Linked DNA regions of Tamandua tetradactyla. The protein of the gene in region 1 interacts with the protein of each later gene in a pairwise test. Links are inferred from orthologs where the notes say so. Each region holds a gene or a part of one and is shown on either strand. Other genes may lie near its edges.

What was found.
Region 2: the proteins of SUV39H2 (region 1) and RASSF1 interact in a two-hybrid assay, tested with the Homo sapiens proteins (2 studies listed by BioGRID and IntAct). The link is inferred for Tamandua tetradactyla from reciprocal best matches to the Homo sapiens genes SUV39H2 and RASSF1.
Region 3: the proteins of SUV39H2 (region 1) and APPL2 interact in binary tests that used the Homo sapiens proteins (3 or more experiments, as listed by UniProt). The link is inferred for Tamandua tetradactyla from reciprocal best matches to the Homo sapiens genes SUV39H2 and APPL2.

Annotation. Positions count from the first base shown.
Region 1 is NC_135333.1:47,805,509-47,812,502, forward strand, and holds the start of SUV39H2 (histone-lysine N-methyltransferase SUV39H2), read right to left. Parts: upstream 3,004-6,994; 5' UTR 2,935-3,003; coding exon 2,889-2,934; intron 2,665-2,888; exon of another isoform or gene 1,617-2,664; intron 466-1,616; coding exon 320-465; intron 1-319. UniProt on the Homo sapiens protein: Histone methyltransferase that specifically trimethylates 'Lys-9' of histone H3 using monomethylated H3 'Lys-9' as substrate.
Region 2 is NC_135341.1:35,759,908-35,767,859, forward strand, and holds the start of RASSF1 (ras association domain-containing protein 1), read left to right. Parts: upstream 1-4,923; 5' UTR 4,924-4,990; coding exon 4,991-5,240; intron 5,241-7,111; coding exon 7,112-7,227; intron 7,228-7,305; exon of another isoform or gene 7,306-7,829; coding exon of another isoform or gene 7,830-7,952. Other genes in the region: ZMYND10 (zinc finger MYND domain-containing protein 10), read left to right, coding at 676-767, 1,036-1,144, 1,996-2,112, 2,233-2,286, 2,405-2,542, 2,643-2,731, 2,829-2,929, 3,252-3,424 and 4 more. UniProt on the Homo sapiens protein: Potential tumor suppressor. Required for death receptor-dependent apoptosis. Mediates activation of STK3/MST2 and STK4/MST1 during Fas-induced apoptosis by preventing their dephosphorylation.
Region 3 is NC_135333.1:175,339,577-175,346,970, forward strand, and holds the start of APPL2 (DCC-interacting protein 13-beta), read right to left. Parts: upstream 3,030-7,394; 5' UTR 2,856-3,029; coding exon 2,802-2,855; intron 1-2,801. UniProt on the Homo sapiens protein: Multifunctional adapter protein that binds to various membrane receptors, nuclear factors and signaling proteins to regulate many processes, such as cell proliferation, immune response, endosomal trafficking and cell metabolism.

The DNA.
Region 1 (6,994 bases):
ATCTAGGAGCAAAATGAATGACAAGAGAAACCAATTGGGAATAAAACATTTTGCTCTGATAATCCACCCAGAGATAATCAAGAGTTGGATGCAGAATAATATAAGCACCTTAAAATATTCTAATGCAAGAACATTTTATCCTTCAAAATCTTCTGAAAGTTATTTGGCAATACAGATGATAAGACATAAAATTTATCATGGTTTAGAGTATTAAATACTAAGGACAGCTTTGCTTGTTTTTAAGGTTATTTTTATTACAGAAATATGAAATACTAAAGTCTGATTGGGTCTCTTTTAAGAGGCTAGATATTTGCCTTACCTTTACTACCTTGTAGTCACACAAGTATTCCACCTCATAATTGTTTAGATTCCTTTTGGTGATTCCAATGGATTTACATGTGAGCTTTTCTTTTCTACATAATTCCTGAAGAGTATCAAGTGAAACTAGGCAAGGCACACACCAAGCTACAATAAGAAAATAGAATTCTTTACTAATGAAATAGCTACTGATTAAAACAAAAAAGAAAAACTTAACACTTCTATATCCCCACCCTTCAACTGGCAATTTTACAGGACTAAAAAATCATGACAAGAAACCAATCATGCATCTTCAAGAAAAAAATTAAGCATTAAAGACTAGTTTGGTAAATTCATCTTCCGGATTTTCTCACAGTTCTCTATCCTACTATGTTTAACTGATGCCAATTAATTTCTACTAAGCCACTTGAACAAAATACTTCATGTCTGTAAGCTTTCTTGAGATTACATACAGATGCAAAAGTCAATAGATAATGTTTTTTTATTTTTCCATTATTTTCTACATAGCATATATGAACGCTATAGAGACTGAAACTTAGATCTCTAGGATATTATACTTATCCATTATATTCTTAATAGAATATGACTGATATTTTCATAAACTTAGATCTCTAGGACAATATTTATTATTGTTAGAAATACATCTAAAGTATACTTTAAAACACAATCTGATAACCCATTAAAAAGTAACTTTTTTCCTTCTTCTTAAGTGGACAATGGGAACTGAAATAAATTCAAATATAGCTCTATAGTTACAAAACATATACACCCTGCATCCTACTTTTCCCACTTTGGAATGTTGCGTGAAATTTTAACTTTTTTGTTTTGCCTATTTGCAATGTATTATCATTAAGGTAAATAAACCCAAGAGCTATAATAAAGAGTGCATGCTAATCTTTTGCAGTACTCATTTCACGTATGGTTTTAAAAAGCTAAGTGTTACAAAACAGAGTATTCAATTTATATAATATATATACCAAACTTGAAGAAAATCAGACCTATTCATAATTAATCTTACAGAAGCCAGAAACTGACTGAACTGATTTGTGTTGCAGATCTCACCCTAAAATATCCGCAAACCATATGCTTTCAAACTGCATTTAAAATCTAGGTTAACACAAAACTGATGTTTAGAAATGTGTAATAACTTTGCTTTTGGTTTAGTCTGAGAGTGAGCACCAGAGGGGGCCGGAGTCCTCTGCCCTATCCCTAGCTGGGTCACTGATTCGCTGAAAAAATGTGAGGGTTAGAAAAAATTTGGTTTACCAAACAAAAGTTTTAAGTAAACTGAAGTATACCTTAGTAGCTCTCCAAGGTAGTGGTGATATAACCTTTTGTGTTTTGAGGCGATTTTCCAGTGAAGAGAGAACACGGCGGCTCAGACTTGACTACATCCTTTCCTCACTCTCCTCAACTCACCAGGAGACTGACTTTATTGTGGGAAACCTTTAGCACCATTTCCAGCAAGCCCCTTCCTTCAAACTTATAATTGTAAATCAAGACAGTGAAATCCCTGGAAGGGTTGTTTGCTTTGAGGTGGTGGTTTAAGAACAGCAGAGTGGTAGAACAGAAGTGATCCCTTAACTGCTTTCCATCTAATCAACTTGAGGATGCTTTGTGTAAAGTTATCCTCACTCCACTAACCATGTGCAAAGGAGGGCCCTCTTTGGTATTTACCCAAGGTGTATTTGTCTGCCATCCCTAAACGTTTTATCTGGTTGAAGTAACATGAGGATTCAAGACAAAACCCTAGATGGAAATGCTATCTTTGAGGATAAAAAATACATATATAAAAAAACCGCAAACATTTAGTAAAAATTCCGATACTCTAATCGCCTAAAAAAAAAAGAATTCGATGACAAGATTACATGTTTCATCACCATCACAGAAACCTAACACTAGTTTACATTTTAGCCATTCATTGCTAAAGGAAGGGAAATTCAGGGATTGTGTGACGGTAGTTCATCTATGTGGGTGGAGAGGAGTGCTTGAAAACGCCTTTAAATTCTAGAATGTGTGGCAAGTTCTAGCCTTTCTGATAACTCCCACACGCACACGCATCGGCATCTAATTCTCTGGCGTCCACCTCAATTTCACGCGAGGTTCTTGTGCCAGAGGCGCATTCCCATATGCCCCTTACTGGGGTATCCTCCACTAAGGGGCTTCCCCTCCCACTGCGTCCCAATTGGGCGTACGCTTGTTTCTTCTTTTTCTTGATATTAAGATGAAAGTTACACAACCCACATTTCTCCCTTTCCAGTTAAAGCATCAACACAACGCAAACGTCCCGTTCAAACCGCCACAAAGAAGTCAGCGCGCCCCCCGGCCCCGGTTACCCGCGAGACACCCCAGAGGGCACCGACCCCGGCCCGAAGAGGAGGCGCGCGGGCCGGGCTGACCCGACCGACGCCTTCAGGCCGTGGGGGAGTCAGGTTCCGGGGCTCGTAGGTGGCCCTGCGGAGTCCCCGCGACCCTACAGCCCAGGCGTGCGGGGTCGCCCGGCGCGGGGAGGCAGAGCCGGGGGCGGGTCGGGCCGGGGCCCAGTGAGCAGCTCCCCTCCCCGGCCTCACCTCGGCGCGCCTCGGGCCCGGCCGCCGCCATCTTGCGGACTCCCATTCAAACTGGCGCGGGCCGCGGGGTCGCCCGCCTCCGCCCCGCCTCCGCCGCGGGTTCGCTCGGGTCTGCTGCCGCGGCGCGGCAACGTCACACGGCGCGCTGGCGTCGCGCGTGCGCCACGGGACGAGCGTGGGGGCGGGGCAGGGACCGGAAGTGGGCAAGGCAGAGAGCTGGACGGAAGGAGGGGTCGTAGGGGTCTTCGCGTCCGAGGTCCCACCTGGGCTTTCCGAGTTTGTTTGCACCCAGCTAGATGCGTCTCGCGTGCTTCGGGTTTGTTTTCTTAGTGCCCCTGTGGGTGTTCGGTCCGAGATCCTGGTGCAACCGGCCTGAGGGGGTCTCAGGTGCCCCGGGGTCGCCGGCAGGAACCCCCGCTTCGCATCGCATCCGTGCTTACTGCCTTTAAACGACAACCAGGCCACGCTTCTAAAGTAGTATATTGCGAAGTCTTTTGTAGAAAGCCATTGGACAAACTCCAATAGTTTTAAAAATTCATGTAAAACTTAAATATTTCAAAACATCATGTATAAATTTGAAATACTGAATATAAACGTCGAACATTAAGGAATGGTTCATTAGATACTGCCTCACCACCTAAAAAAAGATGTTTATGAAGCTGTTAGTATCAGAAGTGTTTGATAAGCCGAAAAAGAAAAAAGAAAACAGTAAACCTAGAAACCCCAAAGAACATTAAACAAACCTCCTAACCCCGGGAAACCTACAAAATATACAACTATAAATGAATAGTACGAAAAATGGAAGAGGAATAAGTGGAAATAAAAGATAATCAGGGGTTTTCTTTTTGGCTTCTCGCTTTTATTTACCCAGTTTCTATAATGAGCATCTTATTACATGGATAACAAAGAATAAAAGGTCCTAGTCAGTCGCATCACATCTAAGGCCCGTGGTAATTTGGTTCCTATTCACTGCTCATCATTTCATTCTACCTTATTTCTTTCTTTCTCAAATATTCCCTGCCACCTTCACTGGCCTTTCGTCATTTACCACTCTGCCTAGAAAGCTCCTACCTTTCCTTCCTTGAGGATTACTCCTACCTGTCCTTCATAACTTGGATAGCGCATCATCCGCTCCCCAGGCTTCTCTATTCCCCAAGCCCTCTCCAAGTATACTCACTGCTCAGACTTCTCTATTCCCCATCCCCTCTCCAAGTGAACTCATTGCTCTTCCCAAATGTGCCCGAGCATCCTTCATTACTGAAGTTCTTTCTTGGTTTTCCTTATACCTCTTTTCCCTCTATCCGAACTAAATGTTTCCCCTCACTCACTCTCCTCCAGGCCTTTTTTCCACTCATTCAAAATCTGTTATCATACATTTCCTTTGTGCTATGCAGGGACTAGATTCTGAGAATAGAATAGCTCCCAAGGAATACTCTGGTCTGTCCTCATGGAGTTTATTTCTAGTGGGAGGAGCAGATAGTAAACAAGTAAATAACTAAGGCAGCCAACTCTAAATTCTTCTTCCTTCAGAGGACATTTCCTCCCTTCACATGGCTACTTGTCCTTGAATGCCAGCTTAAATGTCACTTTTTCAGAGGCCTATTCACTCTATCTGAAGGAGGTACCTTACCATCTTCCCCCATTCTATCTTGCCTTTACATCCTTAAAAACACTCACCAAAATGTGCAATTAACTTGTCTGTTTTTATTTTTCAATAAAAATGTATAGAATGAATGTATTACACTGTTTTGTAAATTGACTTTTCCTTTATTTTTCTAGCCTTGAATCCTATCACTTTCAGGGCATGAATTAGGTCCTGTTCCTTCAGCATTCTCACTTCTATCCAGAGCAGCAATCTTCAAGGTATGACATGGGGACCTTGAGCCCCTGGAGGAGGTTCACAAGTTCGAAACTATTTTCATAAAAATACCAAGATGTTATCTGCTTTTATCTACTATTCTTCTCTCATAAGAGCTTTCCAGGTTATACAACGTGGATGTTGCAAAAGACTGCAGAACCAGATGTGAGATTACAGCTATTTTCTATCAAGCCAGACATTCAAAAACTTTGAAAAATGAGAAACAATACCACTTTTGCCAGTAAACTTTTTATTTTTCATAAAAATGCTATTTATATTGAAAGTAATATTATTTAAAACTGGTCATTTTAAAATAAAATCTCTGTTTTAATTCATAATATGATAAATATAAATATATATAATAAAGCTCTTTGGTATTTTATTCATTTGTGAGAGTGTCAAAAGGGGTCCCAAGAATAAAATGTCTAAGGACTTTGGTAAACCCTCCATAAATGAATGGAGACAGAGACAAAAAGCCACTAAAAGACACCTATATCTTCAAGGGCCATGTGTAGAATTATGCCTCCCTCCATTTTTTTTTCATAAAGACAAGAGAAAACATGATTTCTGAAAGCCCAAAGGGTGTTTCCTCTTCCAATGAAATAAATGTTCTTTGAGAGGCAAAGAAAAATACAATGAACAATGGATTAAAAATGTAAAGTTCAAAGTAATGTTGTAGGTATTGTGCTTAGAAGAGTAAGCAGTCAATACAAATTAAATTTACAAAAAAGGCATCTGAATATTATTCGTTCAGAATTCACCAGTTATCTTTTGTGAAGCCTTGGATAAATTACTTACTTCCTGTGAATCTATTTGTGCATCTATAAACAGAAATAATACATGCCATGCTATTCTCTACAAATTAACAACTACTCACAGGTCTGTGGTGAGAGCAGAGTTAAAAAGGAGCAAAAGAACTTAAGCAAAGAAATAGAACAATATTGTTATAAATATTACATTTTTATGTAATAATTTCATTCGCTGTCATTTTAGAAATCCCGAGATGTTCCCTTAGAATTTGTTTTGTGCTTGGATCATATTTTTTTTATCCTTAAAAACTCTTAGGCATATAAAAGCTTTAGTTTGTGGTTAAATATTTTATGGCCCGCCAGAAATTTCAGAGTATTAACTGGGGTGTTTTGGCTCAGTCTTGAGCTCTAGCTGGCAGTCAAGGGCTGTGCTCTGGCATCCTCAGTAGCCGTGGCCCCCATCAATGTTGCTTATGTTTCTCAGGGCTCCTCTGCGCTACTTGTCTGCCCCACATTCCACCATCATAAGCCACTATCATGGTAAAGCTCATGAAAGCTGGTAAAAATCAAGGTAACGCCAAGAAAATGACTCCTCCTCCAAAGAAGGTAGAAGAAAATGGTGATGATGAGGAAATGTCAGCAAATGAAGATGATAGCAGTGGAGAAGAGATTGTTATTCCTCAGAAAAAAAAGCAAGAAGGCCATCACAACTCCAGCAAAGAAGATGGTGGTTTCCCCAACAAAAAAGATTGCAGTTGTCACACCTGCCAAGAAGGTAGCTGTAACCCTTGGCAAAAAAGCAGCAGCCATACCTGCCAAGAAGACAACTACACCAGCCAACACCTGCCAAGAAGAAGCCACACCTGGCAAGGCAGTGGTAGTGGCGACTCCTGGTAAGACGGGAGCTCTGACCCTAGCCAAGGGGGCAGAGAATGGTAAAAATGCCAAGAAGGATGACAGGGATGAGGAAGATGATGAAGACAGCAAGGAAGAGAACAAGGATGAGGATGAATCTGAGCCAGCAGTGATAAAGGCAGCCACTACTACTTCTGCCTCAGAGGATGACGATGATGAAAATGAAAATGATGAAGACAAAGATGAGGATGACAATGATGAAGATGATGATTCTGAAGAAGCAGCTGTGGAGACTACACCAGCCAAAGGAAAAAAATCTCCTAGAAAAGCTGTTCCTGTGAATCGAAGAGCATGGCTGAAGATGAAGAGGATGAGAAGGAGGAGGAGGAAGAGGATGATGACAAGAAGAATGATGAGAATGATGAGGAGGGGGAGACGGGAGAAAGGGGAAGAGCCTGTCAAAGAAGCACCTGGAAAACAAAAGAAGAAAATGTCCAAGCGAAAAGCCACTCCTGAAGTCAAGGAACAGAAGAATTAGAAACTATAGCGTTCAGTCTTTTTGTTGGAAACTTGAACTTCAACAAATCTGCTCCCAAATTAAAGATGGGGATCAGTGATGTCTTTGCTAAAAAATGAGCTGGGTG
Region 2 (7,952 bases), on another chromosome or scaffold:
AGGCTGCTTTGGACTTGGTATTCTGAGGGCCAAAGGCAGGCACAAAGAGATTTCATGCAAGTAAAAATGTCTGGTATATACTTTAAAAGATTCCTTCCTGCTCATGGGGCTCCAGGGTGGAAGTGGGTCCAGTAGGAAGATTGCTGGGAGGTGACAGCAGCCTGGACTAGGATGGAGAGAAGTTGTGGGCCCTGGGCAGTATTTCGGAGGCAGTATCAACAGGTAGAGCTGAGCTTGTGAGGTATGGAAGCCATGAAGCCAAGATGAGGAGAAATCGGATGCAGCTACAGGAGGCTACAGGAAGAGCGGGAGAGAGGAAGGACACAGTAGGAAGCAGTAGCCAGAGGAGCCTAGAGTTCAGGAGAGGCCCATGGGCCGCAGCCGATTTTGAGGGAGAAAGCGTTAGCAATCCAACCGAGTCACTATCCGCAGCTCGGCGGGCTAGGAAGGCAAGGGGCGGGACCCCGCCCTGCACAAACTGCCGGCAGGGGGCGGGGCCCCCGGTCGCAGTACGCAGGCGCGGAGCAAACCCGTCTCCATGGCGACAAGGACCAAGCTCCGACCCCAACTACTCTGCAACTGTCGTATCTTGGACTTAAGACCTACTGGAACCCGTCGTCCTTGACCGTGATCCCGCGTCAGATCACCTTTCTGCTCTCTGTCCCCGGCCTCGACATGGGTGACCTGGAGCTGCTGCTACCCGGCGAGGCTGAGGTGCTGGTGCGGAGTCTGCGCAGCTTCCCGGTGCGCGAGATGGGCTCCGAAAGGTGAGGCAGCCAGGTGAAGGGTTAGATGGAGTCATGGGGTCAGGGTCCTTGAAGGGGAAAACTTGGGCCAACTCTGGGGAGAGGAGTGGTGGGGTGGAGGGCCCACCCAGCCTCTCTGCGTGCAGAAGCAGAGATCTCAAGATGAGGATTAATGACTTCCAAGACCCCTCTGGTCCTTCAGGATCAGGATGGGCTTTATTAGGACCCAGCCAGCACCCCCACTCCATTACACATACATGTACCCAAATGCACACACCCTCTGGAGCAGGTGGAACCAGCAGCATGAGAACCTGGAGAAGCTGAACATACAGGCCATCCTGGATGCCACAGCCAGCCAGGGTGAGCCCATCCAAGAGCTGCTGGTCACTCATGGGAAGGTAAGCCGAGGTCACAGGCAGGGTTCCTGCCTTCACCCCACACCCCCACCTGCTCTATCCAGGAGTATCTCTGGCCTGTTACAACTGTCCTTCCCAAAGAGGAAGGAGCAGTGTGTGAGAGTTTCATTCTATACCACTATTGGGCAGGACCTTTGCTTGCCAGGCCCATGCAGGGCACAAGCTTATAAACAGGACAGTTGTGGATCTTAGGACAGCCTAGGATTCAGGGAAAGGGCCCAAGCACTAAAGGCATCCCTGAAAAGAGTGTAAGGCACTCACACACATAGTGGATGGGACCTTGCATGGAGGCAGCCTTCTCAACATGGGAGTGCAGAGTTAGGCACCAGCGATCTGCCTGGCCAGAACATGGGCCAGTAAGTGACCTGAGATATTACTTGATAAAAGGGTTCCCCTGCAAGAAAAAGAGGGAGCCCACTACTGTGGGGATAGGGCACTGTGAAGGGCCCCAAGTTAGGGAAAGGCCAAGGCACACAAGAATATCCGAGGTCAGGGACAAGAGGGAAGGCAGGAACAAGAAGGCCTGAGAGGGAGGTCAGATGGTGGAACAAAAGTATATGTATGTGGGGAGCAGGAAGATCCCCACTGCCTGGGGGCAAAGCAGGGGCCAGTCACTGGCAGCATGGGAGAAGACCCCACAGAAATGCTCCTCCAGGCAGCTGGAGATGAAAGTCTAAGGCTCAGGAGAGAGGTCAGGAAGGGTATTCATGGAACTTGGGAGAGTAAGGCGGCTCAGGCAAGTCTGAGACCTAGGTCAGGCTAGGCCAAGAATGGGGCATGGCTAGGCCAAGTCGGGCTCATCTCATCCCGATCCTTGCCCTGACTCCTCAAAGATCCCGACACTGGTGGAGGAGCTGATTGCAGTAGAGATGTGGAAGCAGAAGGTGTTCCCTGTGCTGTGCAAGTTGGAGGACTTCAAGCCTCAGAATACCTTCCCTATATACATGGTGGTGAGCTGGACCCTGGTTCCCATCCCCACCTACACCTTCAGAAAGCCCTGGACTAGAGGGCAGCTGGTGACTCCTAACCCTTTGTCAGCCTCAGGTTCTGTCCTCTGCTTTGGCTGACAGGTGCACCATGAGGCCTCCATCATCAACCTCCTGGAGACAGTTTTTTTCCATAAGGTAAGACACAGGTTCTGTCCATAGGCCACTGCCCCAGGCCAGAGCTGGACAGGAAGAGGGTTTGTCTCTGTAGGGAGAGCATCAGAGGCAGAAGGTTTTCCCTCCTCTTGCCTCCCAGGAAGTGTGTGAGTCAGCAGAGGACACCGTCTTGGACCTGGTGGACTACTGCCACCGCAAACTGACTCTGCTGGTGGCCCGGAGTGGCCATGGCAGTCCCCCTGAGGAAGAGGGATCCCAGGACAACACCCCCATGCAGGTGGACTGAGGTTCCCTGGGGCTGGCAAGGGCTGAATCTAGGCTTCACAAGTCCTAGGCAGGAAGGGGGTGGCCCAAATTGAGCACTTTGTGGCCTCCAGGAGCTACAGAAGCAGGCAGAGCTGATGGAATTTGAGATTGCACTGAAGGCCCTCTCAGTGTTGCGTTACATCACAGACTGCATGGACAGGTGGGCAGACTGGCTGGGTCTGGGTGGGGCCTGTACTTGAGGGTGAGGAAACAGAGCCTGCAGCCTCTGCTCACTTCCCCCCACTCCCGACCTCCAGCCTGTCCCTGAGCACCTTGAACCGAATACTCAGCACCCACAACCTGCCCTGCCTCCTGGTGGAACTGCTGCAGCACAGTCCTTGGAGCCGGCGTGAAGCTGGTAAAGGCCTCATCAATCTGCCTAAACCCCAACCCACTGCTTACAGGACATCCTCAGGATTGGCAGGGGTGGGCCCATAGAAAATACCAGGATGTCTCCCTCAGGTTGGGCCTAGATCTGGGCTCTCCAGCAGGCAAGGCCCATGTGTTCATTACTGAAGACTCAGCCTGCTCTGGGGCCAACAGTACCTCAACCCTGACAAGTCCTTGTGGTTCAGGCTTTTCCCACCATGCCCGGGCAGTGACCAGTCCACCATTCCACATGGCTAGCTCACTTAAAGATCATGCAATGCCTGCATCCATTGTTTTGGTTCCTCTCTCAGGCAAACTGCAGCGATTCGAGGGTGGATGTTGGCAGACAGTGGCCCCCTCAGAACAGCAAAAACTGAGCAAGCTGGATGGGCAGGTGTGGATTGCCCTGTACAACCTGCTGCTAAACCCTGAGGCCCGGGCCCGCTACTGCCTCACAGGCTTTGCCAAGGGTCAGCTGCTCAAGGTTGGGAGTTGCCCCAGGCTCCCCGACACCAGTCTTCTCTGCCCCAGCACTGCCCCCTCCATCCCACCCCATTCATCGCTGCCATTTGTCTTTGTACACCCACCTCAGCCTTTCCATACTTTGGACCTCAGGTCATGAAGCAGTCAATGGGGCTCAGGCCCCACAAGCATCCTCAGCCCAGCCTAGCCCAGCCCAGATCCTCCTGCTCCTTGGCCCTTTGGCCAGTATGTGCCTAACACAGCCTCCACCAACACCCTTGCAGCTTCAGGCCTTCCTCACTGACACACTGCTTGACCAGCTGCCCAACCTGGCAGATCTGCAGCATTTTCTGACCCACCTGGCCCTGGCTGAACCCGAGGCCCCCAAGAAGGACCTGGTGTTGGAACAGGTAGGCACTGGGATATTACTTGGGACCACTGTCCTCTTTGCCTTTGCTCCTCCCTGCTACTCTCTACTTCTCCCCCCAACCCACTCCACTCCCCAGATCCCAGAAATTTGGGAGCAGCTGGAGCGAGAGAACAGAGGCAAGTGGCAAGCCATTGCCAAGCACCAGTTGCGACATATGTTCAGTGCCTCAGAGCAGGACCTGCGGCTACAGGCACGGAGGTAAGCCCTGCTGAGCTGATAGAAGGGGTGGTAAAGAAGTAGGAGGCATGGCCTGGGAATGGGGGGCTCCCTATGTGCCCATCTGCCAGGCCTAGTCATGTCTTCCTGACCCTTCCCCAGGTGGGCTGAGACCTACCGACTGGATGTGCTGGAAGCAGTGGCCCCAGAGCGGCCCCGCTGTGCCTACTGCAGCGCAGAGGCCTCTAAGCGTTGCTCCAGATGCCAGAACGAATGGTATTGCTGCAGGTGAGGGTACCCTAGGATCCTGGAACCCTGAGCCCCACCTCCAAACACTGCCCTCCTCACTGGTCCATCTGTCTGCAGGGAATGTCAAGTCAAACACTGGGAGAAGCATGGAAAGGCCTGTGTCCTGGCAGCCCAGGGTGATAGAGTCAAATGAAAGTTGTGGCCGTGGAGGGCCGACCAACTCTGCCAGAGGAGCCCACCCAGAGTGCGCTCCTCAACCTAGAAACTTCAGCCTGGCCTCCTGTGTGGGTAGCGCCATTGGGTGGGGTAGAGCAGCTGACCATCCCCTGCCAAAGCAAAGCGCTCCCCACTTCCTGCCCCACCCTGGGACACTGCCTCAGAAAGCTGGGGCAGGAAGACTGGGCAGGATGTGGAGACCCTCTTCCTCTAGCAGAGTAAAGCAGGCCTCTAGAAACACGCTTGTCTCAGTGTGCTCTGTCGCAGTCGGGGGCAGAGGGGGTGGAGGGGGGGTGTGTTCATGTGGATGAGGGAGGCAAGGAAGGGAATGCGGGGATTTTGCCAGTCTCCCCACCCCAACTCCTCTCGGCTCCGCCTGCGGGCTGACGGAACCCCGCACCCAAGTTTCCGTTGCACAGCTCTCCTTGGCTCTCACCGAGCTCCGCCCTGCCTGAATCTAAGGGGGCGGTGTCGCAGTCGGGACCCGCCCGCCCGGCGCTTGCTTGAGCGCGCAACCCTGGCCAGGCCAGGCGGACCATGTCGGCCGAGCCCGAGCTCATCGAGCTACAGGAGTTGACACCCGCTCGCAGCCCCGGCCCCGGCCGTACCCGCCTGGCGCGCACCAATGCGCTTCGCATTGCGCCAGGCACTGCACGCTACCCCGAACGGCACCTGGCTCCTGGCCGTGGCCACCGTTTCCAACCGGCTGGGCCCGCCACGCACACCTGGTGCGATCTCTGCGGCGACTTCATCTGGGGCGTCGTGCGCAAGGGCCTGCAGTGTGCCCGTGAGTAGCAGCCCATTGCGCAGACGAGAACAGAACCGCCGCTGAGGGGGAGCGCCATCGCTCCGGACTAAGTCGAGGTGGAGGGGGGTGGCAGGAATGGCCCCACGGACCTGGGCCGTTATCTTGGGCTCCCATCGCGGGAGAGAGTGCTGACAGATGGTTCATCTTGCTATGCGCCACCTGCATCTGGGGCGGTTGGTCAGGGGCAGTTGCCTTTGAATTCCAAGCTGCTAATTTCAAGTTTCTTATCTTCCCTTTAAAGTGCCTTGGCCCTTCTTGAGAAAGGCTGTGAACCCATATCCCAGGCCTGCCCCTTCCCAAAGATTCACTTACCCAGATCCCACTAAAGAATACCCCTGTGGTGAAGGGAAGTTATGAAGGGAGGGGACCTGGGAAAGTTGAGAACGCTGGACAGGCCCCCTGCAAGCAGGGATTTTAAGTCTGTTCAGCAAACACCCACATGGGGCCAGTGAACCAGGTGCTGCAACATGGAATTCAGGGACACACCAGCCAGGCCTCTGTCATCCTGTGAATCACCATCACCGGCAAGCAGAGGTTGCTCTCCCATTTAAATCACCTGGGCGCTTTTACAGCCCTCCCACTCCCTATGCCTGGATCCCACCTCAGATGGGTTGCTGGAGATAGGCCCTATGCATCAGTAATCTTTTTGAAACTCCCCAAATCATTCTAATGTACAGCCTGGGTTGAGAATCACTGCTCCAGTCCATTCAGAAACCTAGGGATATAGTGTCAGGCCTGTGTGTGCACGGAGATCCTCCGTCCAATACAGGAGACTGCCCAGTATTCAGGTGACAGAAGCACAGAACTTATGATTGAATACAAAATATGAATGCTGCACCATTCCCAAGGAGAAATAAAGTGACCATGGAAACAAGAAATGGGATCGTTTTGAGTGTGTTTTTGAGATAGAGGCAAGGGAAAAATCAAGAATTGAGTTGGGGGTTTGCCTTAAACTGCTGGAGGAATGGTGGCAATTTCCACTGAGATGTGGAACTCCAGTGAATCGAAGAGGTGAGGTAGAGGAAAAGTGAGTAAAACTTTGGCCATATTCGGTCTGAAGTGTCTTTTAAACATTCAAGTGAATATGCTGATACACAAGATTTGCTCTGAGAAGAGAGGTCAGTGCCTGATGGAGCCTTAGATCTGGAAAGCAAAGCAAGTGGATAAGATAGGGGTAGTGAGAGTAGACAGAGGAGGGCAGCCATCAGGACTGAGCCCAGGCACTCCCCATTACGAGATCAGCAAGTTGGGGCAGAACCAATAAAAGAGCTGAACAGGAGTCGTGGAGGTGAGAGAAAAACCAAGAGAGTATGGGCACCTAGGAAAAGCAAGAGTTAAATAATACCGAGGAGGTAAGGGTGGAAAACTCAATCTCGCAAGTTGCCAAGGACCCTGGCCAGGGCAATCAATTCCGTGGAGGGAGGGGCAAGCCTGGAGTGGGTAAAAGAGGGAAGGTGAATAGTCAGATGCATAGAGATAAGTTTTGGAGTGAGGGGTGTAGAGACAGAAGACAAAAGACCAGAGGCGGTTAGGGATTTCTGTTTTTCCCTTAAGTAAGCGAGGGGGAAACAATATGGAAGGGGTAATCTCATTGCTAGGTGCTTGAGAGCCATCTATTGAGCAGACCTAGGTCCCTAACCGCCAGTGGCCTTCCTGCCAGTTTCTAAACACCCAGAGGCTGACATTAGAGTCTGTGTGGCAGCGGGTGGAAAATGAGACCCGAGAGAAGACCAAACAAGCAGAGCCCGGGGAATGGGCCCTCCACCCGGGGGCTTCCTTTGGGTCCCCCTGGGCGCTTCTCCGAGGTGAAAGTGGGACTCCCTCTGCCTTACGGCCCGGCCTTTCCGCAGACTGCAAGTTCACCTGCCACTACCGTTGCCGCGCGCTCGTCTGCCTGGACTGCTGCGGACCCCGGGACATGGGCTGGGAGCCAGCGCTGGAGCGGGACACCAACGTGGTGAGCGCGGTACGGGAAAGGGCGGGGCAGGGGGCATACGGGGGGGACACAGGCGCGCGGACCGTGGACGGGCCACAGTGCAAGCGTTCACAATTGCGGCCCGGACGCTACCCGCAATGAGCGTAATAACAGCGGATTTCCGGTGGCAAAGAGTCGCTGGTTCAGCGCACGGGTTCGAAGGGGCGTCTCCGGTGCGAATCTTGCAGTGACCCTAGGAACCCGAAGCCAATGGCGGCTCGCCATGAGCCGTCCCGGCACAGCACAGGCGCACTTCCCGCGCCTCCCTCACTTGCATCCGGTCCAGCGGCCACGCGGGTGCACATGCGCACACGCTCCCACACGTCCCCTACGGGTGGTGGGTCAGCGAGAAGGATCTGAGCTGAGCTGCCTGGGCGATGAGGTCATCCTGAAGGCGAGGCGGGCGTGGCCCCGCCCTTTGACGTTCCTCAATAAGAGAAGAGCTGAGTCTGGGCTGTCTACGTTTCCGCCTTAACGGTTGTGGCGTGGACACTGATCTGGCGCACGCGCGCACGGATACAGGCGCGCACGCGTCGGGTTGGCAGCGGAAGGCGAACCGGGCTAGTGAAGCGATCAGGCGTGCTCGCGCAGCGATGGGCGAGGCGGACGCGGGGACACCTTCTTTCGAGATGACCTGGAACAGCACTACAAGCAGTGGCTACTGCAGCCAGGAGGACTCGGACTCGGAGCTCGAGCAGTACTTCACGGCGCGCACC
Region 3 (7,394 bases), about 130 Mb from region 1:
TGAATTTGCCAGAACAACAACAAAAAGAAAATCACAGTTACCACAGTTCCTTGCCTACACACAGAGCTCACAAAGAATGGGAACAAGAAAACTGTGCACACAGCCCTTTTGACCACTTACTCCCAACCGGAGAGACGCAGAGTGGGAGAAGGCAAATCCATTAAAGAGCATCCCGGGAGGTACAATGTACTGAGGAGAAGACAGGTGAGACTGTGAAGGAAGAACAGGCGAATCTATTCTAACTTTGCCTAGTTGAGAATCTAGAGAAGAGACTTATTTACATGACCCAAAGACATAGCATCAGAAACACAGATAGGAAGTTGGGGAAAAGGTAAGTGTAGGAGAACAACAGTTCCCGGGGAGGGGCCACTGAATTGAACTCCAGTCACTGCATCACTGCTACCTGCACACCTGCCTTCACCTCCCAGCACAGGGGCTTGAGGGACATGCCAACGCGCAAACGCAGCTCCCCGTGTGCGCCCGGGTGGGTGCCGTGGTTTCCTCTCCTTATGTACCCCTGGGAGAGACCCCAACCACTGCCTCCCGGCGGGGAGAGACCCCCAACCACTGCCTCCCATGGGGAGAGACCCCAACCACTGCCTCCCGCTGGGGGAGAGACCCCAACCACTGCCTCCCGCTGGGGGACAGACCCCAACCACTGCCTCCCGCTGGGGGAAGACCCCAACCACTGCCTCCCGCTGGGGGACAGACCCCAACCACTGCCTCCCGCTGGGGGACAGACCCCAACCACTGCCTCCCGCTGGGGGAAGACCCCAACCACTGCCTCCCGCTGGGGGAAGACCCCAACCACTGCCTCCCGGCGGGGAGAGACCCCAACCACTGCCTCCGGCGGGGAGAGACCCCAACCACTGCCTCCCGCTGGGGGAGAGACCCCAACCACTGCCTCCCGGCGGGGAGAGACCCCAACCACTGCCTCCCGGCGGGGAGAGACCCCAACCACTGCCTCCCGCTAGGGGAAGACCCCAACCACTGCCTCCCGGCGGGGAGAGACCCCAACCACTGCCTCCCGCTGGGGGAGACCCCAACCACTGCCTCCCGCTGGGGGAAGACCCCAACCACTGCCTCCCGGCGGGGAGAGACCCCAACCACTGCCTCCGGCGGGGAGAGACCCCAACCACTGCCTCCCGCTGGGGGAAGACCCCAACCACTGCCTCCCATGGGGAGAGACCCCAACCACTGCCTCCCATGGGGAGAGACCCCAACCACTGCCTCCCGGCGGGGAGAGACCCCAACCACTGCCTCCCGGCGGGGAGAGACCCCAACCACTGCCTCCTGGCGGGGAGAGACCCCAACCACTGCCTCCCGCTAGGGGAAGACCCCAACCACTGCCTCCCGCTGGGGGAGAGACCCCAACCACTGCCTCCCGGCGGGGAGAGACCCCAACCACTGCCTCCCGCTGGGGGAGAGACCCCAACCACTGCCTCCCGGCGGGGAGAGACCCCAACCACTGCCTCCGGCGGGGAGAGACCCCAACCACTGCCTCCCGCTGGGGGAGAGACCCCAACCACTGCCTCCCGGCGGGGAGAGACCCCAACCACTGCCTCCGGCGGGGAGAGACCCCAACCACTGCCTCCGGCGGGGAGAGACCCCAACCACTGCCTCCCGCTGGGGGAAGACCCCAACCACTGCCTCCCATGGGGAGAGACCCCAACCACTGCCTCCCGCTAGGGGAAGACCCCAACCACTGCCTCCCGGCGGGGAGAGACCCCAACCACTGCCTCCCATGGGGAGAGACCCCAACCACTGCCTCCCATGGGGAGAGACCCCAACCACTGCCTCCCGGCGGGGAGAGACCCCAACCACTGCCTCCCGGCGGGGAGAGACCCCAACCACTGCCTCCCGGCGGGGAGAGACCCCAACCACTGCCTCCCGCTGGGGGAAGACCCCAACCACTGCCTCCCATGGGGAGAGACCCCAACCACTGCCTCCCGCTGGGGGAGAGACCCCAACCACTGCCTCCCGGCGGGGAGAGACCCCAACCACTGCCTCCCGGCGGGGAGAGACCCCAACCACTGCCTCCGGCGGGGAGAGACCCCAACCACTGCCTCCCATGGGGAGAGACCCCAACCACTGCCTCCCGCTGGGGGAAGACCCCAACCACTGCCTCCCGCTGGGGGAGAGACCCCAACCACTGCCTCCCGCTGGGGGAAGACCCCAACCACTGCCTCCCATGGGGAGAGACCCCAACCACTGCCTCCCGCTGGGGGAAGACCCCAACCACTGCCTCCCGCTGGGGGAGACCCCAACCACTGCCTCCCGGCGGGGAGAGACCCCAACCACTGCCTCCCATGGGGAGAGACCCCAACCACTGCCTCCCGGCGGGGAGAGACCCCAACCACTGCCTCCCGCTAGGGGAAGACCCCAACCACTGCCTCCCGCTGGGGGAAGACCCCAACCACTGCCTCCCATGGGGAGAGACCCCAACCGCTCCGTCCCAGGCCCCCGCCAGGTGCAGCGGGACCGTAAACTTGACTCCTCACTCTGCGGGCATTTTCTCCTAACCCTACGCCCCGACGAGGCAGGCACAGCTGCTGTCCCCACTCCACACAGAACAAGCCGAGGCGAACCTGCCCGGGCCGGCAGCCTCCGCTCGGATAAGCAGGGATATGCCGACCCCATGAATCCCGTCGGGGAGGAGACCCTCCACCCCCGAGCCTCCCGGCCACCCCTCCTCAGCCACAAGGGACCTGGGGAAGGACGCCGACCGCCCTGGACCCCAGGGGACCTAGAGAGGCCTCCTCGACCGCACCCCCGCGACGAGGCCGGCCGGAGCGAGGTACCTGCGGGCTGTCCTGCAACGCCTCCTCCAGAAGGAGCCTGTCCACGGCGGGCATGGTGCGCGGGCCGGGCCAGGGGCGCACACAAGGTCTGCGGGCTGGAAGTGCGGCCCGGGAAGGTTCTCCGGACTCGCGCGACGACGCGGACGCTCGGTGGGGCGGCCCAGCACGCCAGAGCCCGACCACGCCCCCGGCCCAAACCCTCCTTCCAGCCCAGCCCTCCCCTCAGCGGAGCCGGGTGACAGGAAGTGTGGCAGTGAAACGCCGGAAGCGTGGCGTCCATGCTTCCGTCCGCGCCCCGTCCCCAGCTCGCCTCCCAGCCCAGCCCTCCCCTCAGCGGAGCCGGGCGACAGGAAGTGTGGCGGGGTCGCCAGTGGGATGCCGGAAGTGTGTCTTAGCCGTTTCCGTCCGCGTCCCCGCCCCCGGCCAGCCTCGCCCAACCCTCCCCTCAGCGGAGCCGGGTGCCAGGAAGTGGGGTGGGGTCCCCAGCGGGACACCGGAAGTGTGGTGCCCTGTCCGCTCGCGCTCCGGTTCGGGGCTCCTTCTATCTACGGGGTGAGCCAAGTAGCGTTGGTCATTGCCGTCGGCGGGCCCCTGAAGCGTGGAAACCCAAGAAGGGACGCAGCCCGGAAGGCCTTGAGGAGCCGAGGCGCGGGACAGGAGTCGGTTGTGCGGTGGTGGACGGGCGTGCTTTCCTCAGAGACCGCGCGCTGCGGCCGACGCCGGAGCTGGTCTCCACGCCCTAGTGCCTCATGGCCTGTCACTTTGGGAAGGCTCATAATCAGATTCTTAGCCCTGGAGAAGGCACCGCTTGATGGTGCCTTGATGTGGGCCTTTTCGTGGCCTCAGATCCTTGTAAGTGAGGAAGGCCCGAGGCTGAAGCCAGCCGGGTCCGGTGCGGGCTAAGCTCCGTCCGCCGGGCGATTCAGCTGCTTTTGCAAAGATCCTAGTAGAAAAAAGTAATTGTAAATTATGGAATTACAGGACTAACTATGTAAAAATGGCCTATGCTGTAACATTCTTTCTGTCCTCATCGCTTTTACTCTCCAGGCCCGGGGAAACAAGTTTTAAGCCAAACCTACGCGTCCCCGATCTTTTCTCACCTAGCCATTCCCCTGTAGCCTCCACTGGTTTAATTTTTACTGCTCGGGTTTGGTCGAGATTCCGGAGAAGGCCCTGGAAGCAGGAATAGGTGATACAGAAAGAAGGTGGGGGATTTCTTTTTCTTAGTTGTTTTCTTTCAAATAGTTTTGACTGATTAGATTTGTACATGACCTTCAGCAGCAGTTGCAGAGCTGAGCTTTAAATTTCAGAGCCCAGGCTCTCAAAAACGTTATACACTGCTGCTGCCTGAAGCCTCTCGGTCTAGAATGAAAAGGTCTAGGATCTAGGCTTATAGGTCTGAATGAAAGGTTGAATTTTTTCTAAACCTCCTGAGCCTACGATGGGGTTTGGGAGTTAGGTTTTCCAGGACGTAGAGCGGGGAGGAGGAGGAGTTTAAAGAGCCCCGGAAACTCTCTTTCCTTAACTTCTGAACTCCAGGAGTATTAGTTTATACAGATAAGCGCTTATTTATCTTTACCTAATATGGATAGTCTTTAAACATTTTTGTTTGTTGATCTTTGGTTACCATCCAGAGGTGGGAAAATATACATTGAACAAATAGGAAATTAGACACAAAAAAACACAGAAATACATAACTCACTAATTAGAACTATAGTTTTTTTCTTTTTCTTGATATGTCTCTTAAGTAAGGTATCATCCACATCCTGTACTAATGGAACAATTCCTTTTCAGGGTTTTAGTTTGTGGACATTGTTTAATGTAACATGGAGTTCCTGGTTGTTGGAATTTCACTTGAATCAGTTTTGCATGTCCAGTTTTTCCATCAACTGGTTTTATAGCTTTTAAGATTTCTTCTGGGATAGGGGTGATTTGTTTATCTTTCTTCGTGAACATTAATGTGGCTTTTTGATTAACATCCATAGCAAGGGAACTGGGTATGTTTTAAATATATGGTTTTAACTAGGCAGTCTAGTAATTGTAGAAATAATTTCTTTGCATTTTTACCAGGCACCCCTGTTATAGTAGCTGATTGGTTGGAAATCATGTTAGGTTTTTATTTAATCTCTGGTATTAAGAAAAAAGTCAATTCATTAGTTTTCCATCTGTATTGTTGCCCAGGGCTCCTGGTGGGAGAAAAGTGTTGTTTCTTGTAGGAGAGCTCTGAGAAGTGCTGTTTGCCTTTTGAAGTCCTGGTCTTTTTAAAACTTGGTCCTGTTTTAAACTTTTAGGCAGGTTCAGCTAACTTAGAGATAGGTAATCTTAGTTCTCCATCTATTTTCTCTTGCACTGTCCTTATATCAGGAACACTCTGAGTAATAAAGGTTATATTTAAAATTTTGCATTCTTTGGACTTTTCAGATCCATATTAGTGTATATTGATACGTAGTATAAATTCTTTCAAGGAAAGCTGAAGTTTTTTTATATTGTTTCATTAGTTTTTTTTTTTGTTTATGGGTTTAGGGACCCCTTTTTTGCAGACTTGGAATAATATATTTTTTATAATGCTCTGATTAGCCCAGTTGTCGGAATTATTTGGATTCCATTCAGGATTTCGTACCAGTGTTGTTAAATTTGCTTTAGCATACACTGGGTTGTCAGGAGTTTCTCTTTGTTTTTTTTTTTAATTTTTTTTTTCCATTTTGCTTTTTCTGTTACTTTTCTCCATTCTTTTCTTGTTATTAAGGTATTTAATAAGGCCTGAGTATTAGCCCAATTTGGGTTATAGTTTGCTAATATTAAAGAAACTAGGCTTTCTTTTTTTTTGGTCCTCTCTATAGAGTGCTGTAATAGTTTGAAGCTGTTATGTACTCCAGAAAATCAGGTTCTTAAATTTAATCCACTCCTGTGGGTGTGGGCCTATTGATTAGGGATCTTTTGTTAAGATTATTTCAACTGAGATGTGACCCATCTTATTCAAGGTTTTAATCCCTGTGCTAGTTTGAAATTATGTACCATAGAAAAGCCTTGTTCTTCTAATCCAGATTCAATATTGTAGGGTGAGATCTTTTGATTAGATTGTTTTCATGGAGATATAATCCACTCGATATAGGTGTGACCTTTTGATTAGATGGACACGTGACTCTGCCCATTTAAGATGGGCCTTGATCAGTTTACTGGAGTTCTTTAAAAAGGGAGACATTTTGGAGAAGACACAGTTGTTTCAGAGCCGACAGAGATGCAGACATTTGGAGATTGTTGGAGTGCTGACACTAGCATTTGGAAATGCAAAGCCCAGCAGACATCACCATATGCCTTCCCATGAGATACTAAGCAAGCCAGAACCCAGAGTTGTGTCCCGGAGGAGCTAAGTGACGATCCACAGATCTTAGAGAGGAAAGCGCTGGAATCAGAAGGTGGAAGCAGTGGAACCAGAATAAGGACCAGCAGATGCCAGCCACATGCCTTGTCATGTGACAGGTATCAGCCTTCCTTGAGTCAAGGTATCTTTCTTTGGATGCCTTAATGTGGACATTTTTTTGGTCTTAGAACTGGAAACTTGCAACTTAATAAATTCTCTTTTTAAAACCCATTCCATTTCTAGTATATTGCATTCCAGGAGCATTTAACAAACTAAAACATTCCTCTTATTTGGGTCCTTTATAGAAGGTTAAAACACATAGAGATGAAATTAAGAAAAGTTCACATAAAAAGCTCCAGAGAAGCTGAGAGGAAGCCACTAAAGCCAGAAGCTGGAAGCAGTGAAAGCTGGGAGAGAAGGACCAGCAGATGCTGCCAGGTGCCTTCCCTATGTGACAGAGCAGCCCAAGCTAGCTTGTAGCCAGTCTTCAGAGAAGGTATCATCCTGTTGATTCCTTTATTTGGACATTTTTCACGGCCTGCAATTTGTAAGTTCATAAGCTAATAAATTCCCAATGTAAAAGCCAACCCATTTCTGGTTTATTACATCATGTCAGCTTTAGTAAACCAAAACAAGTGGGATATTATTTTCCCAGTTACATAAATTCATTGTGGAGGATGTGATACTCACATATATAAATCTTCTTGGGTCTCCCTGTTGTCCTTTCCTGTGGGCACTTGCTGGATGGGGAGAAGTTTTATAGTGGCTCAGCTGCTGGTCTTAGAGAGCATCCTGGCTAGACTGAATTTCCTGGCAGCTATGGTGAGGGAAAGGAAACCATTTCTATTTCACGCTTTTTTTTTTAACCTTCAGTTAAGGTTTAAAAAGAGGAGGCGGAGGTAGGGGAGCTTCATCCTTCATCTATCTGCTCCCTGGTTATAGGGCAGAGGTGGAGCAGATGAAGGAATTAATAAAGGCTCTACTGGATCCTCTGGATTTGAATCTGGGAGACATTTTTCTTTTCCCTACTAATCTTTACAGGTAAAATTTTACACTTTCTCACCTACATTGATTGCTGAGAGACAAAGGACTGAGAATACCTCCCCCATCTGTGGGCCCAGGCCTGGGACTCCCCTCCACTCTGAGAGCAGGTTATTTCTTGGCCGCCTATATGACGGGACAGGCGTTAAAGGCCATCAGACATCTGTGGGGAAAGATTGTACACCTGGCAT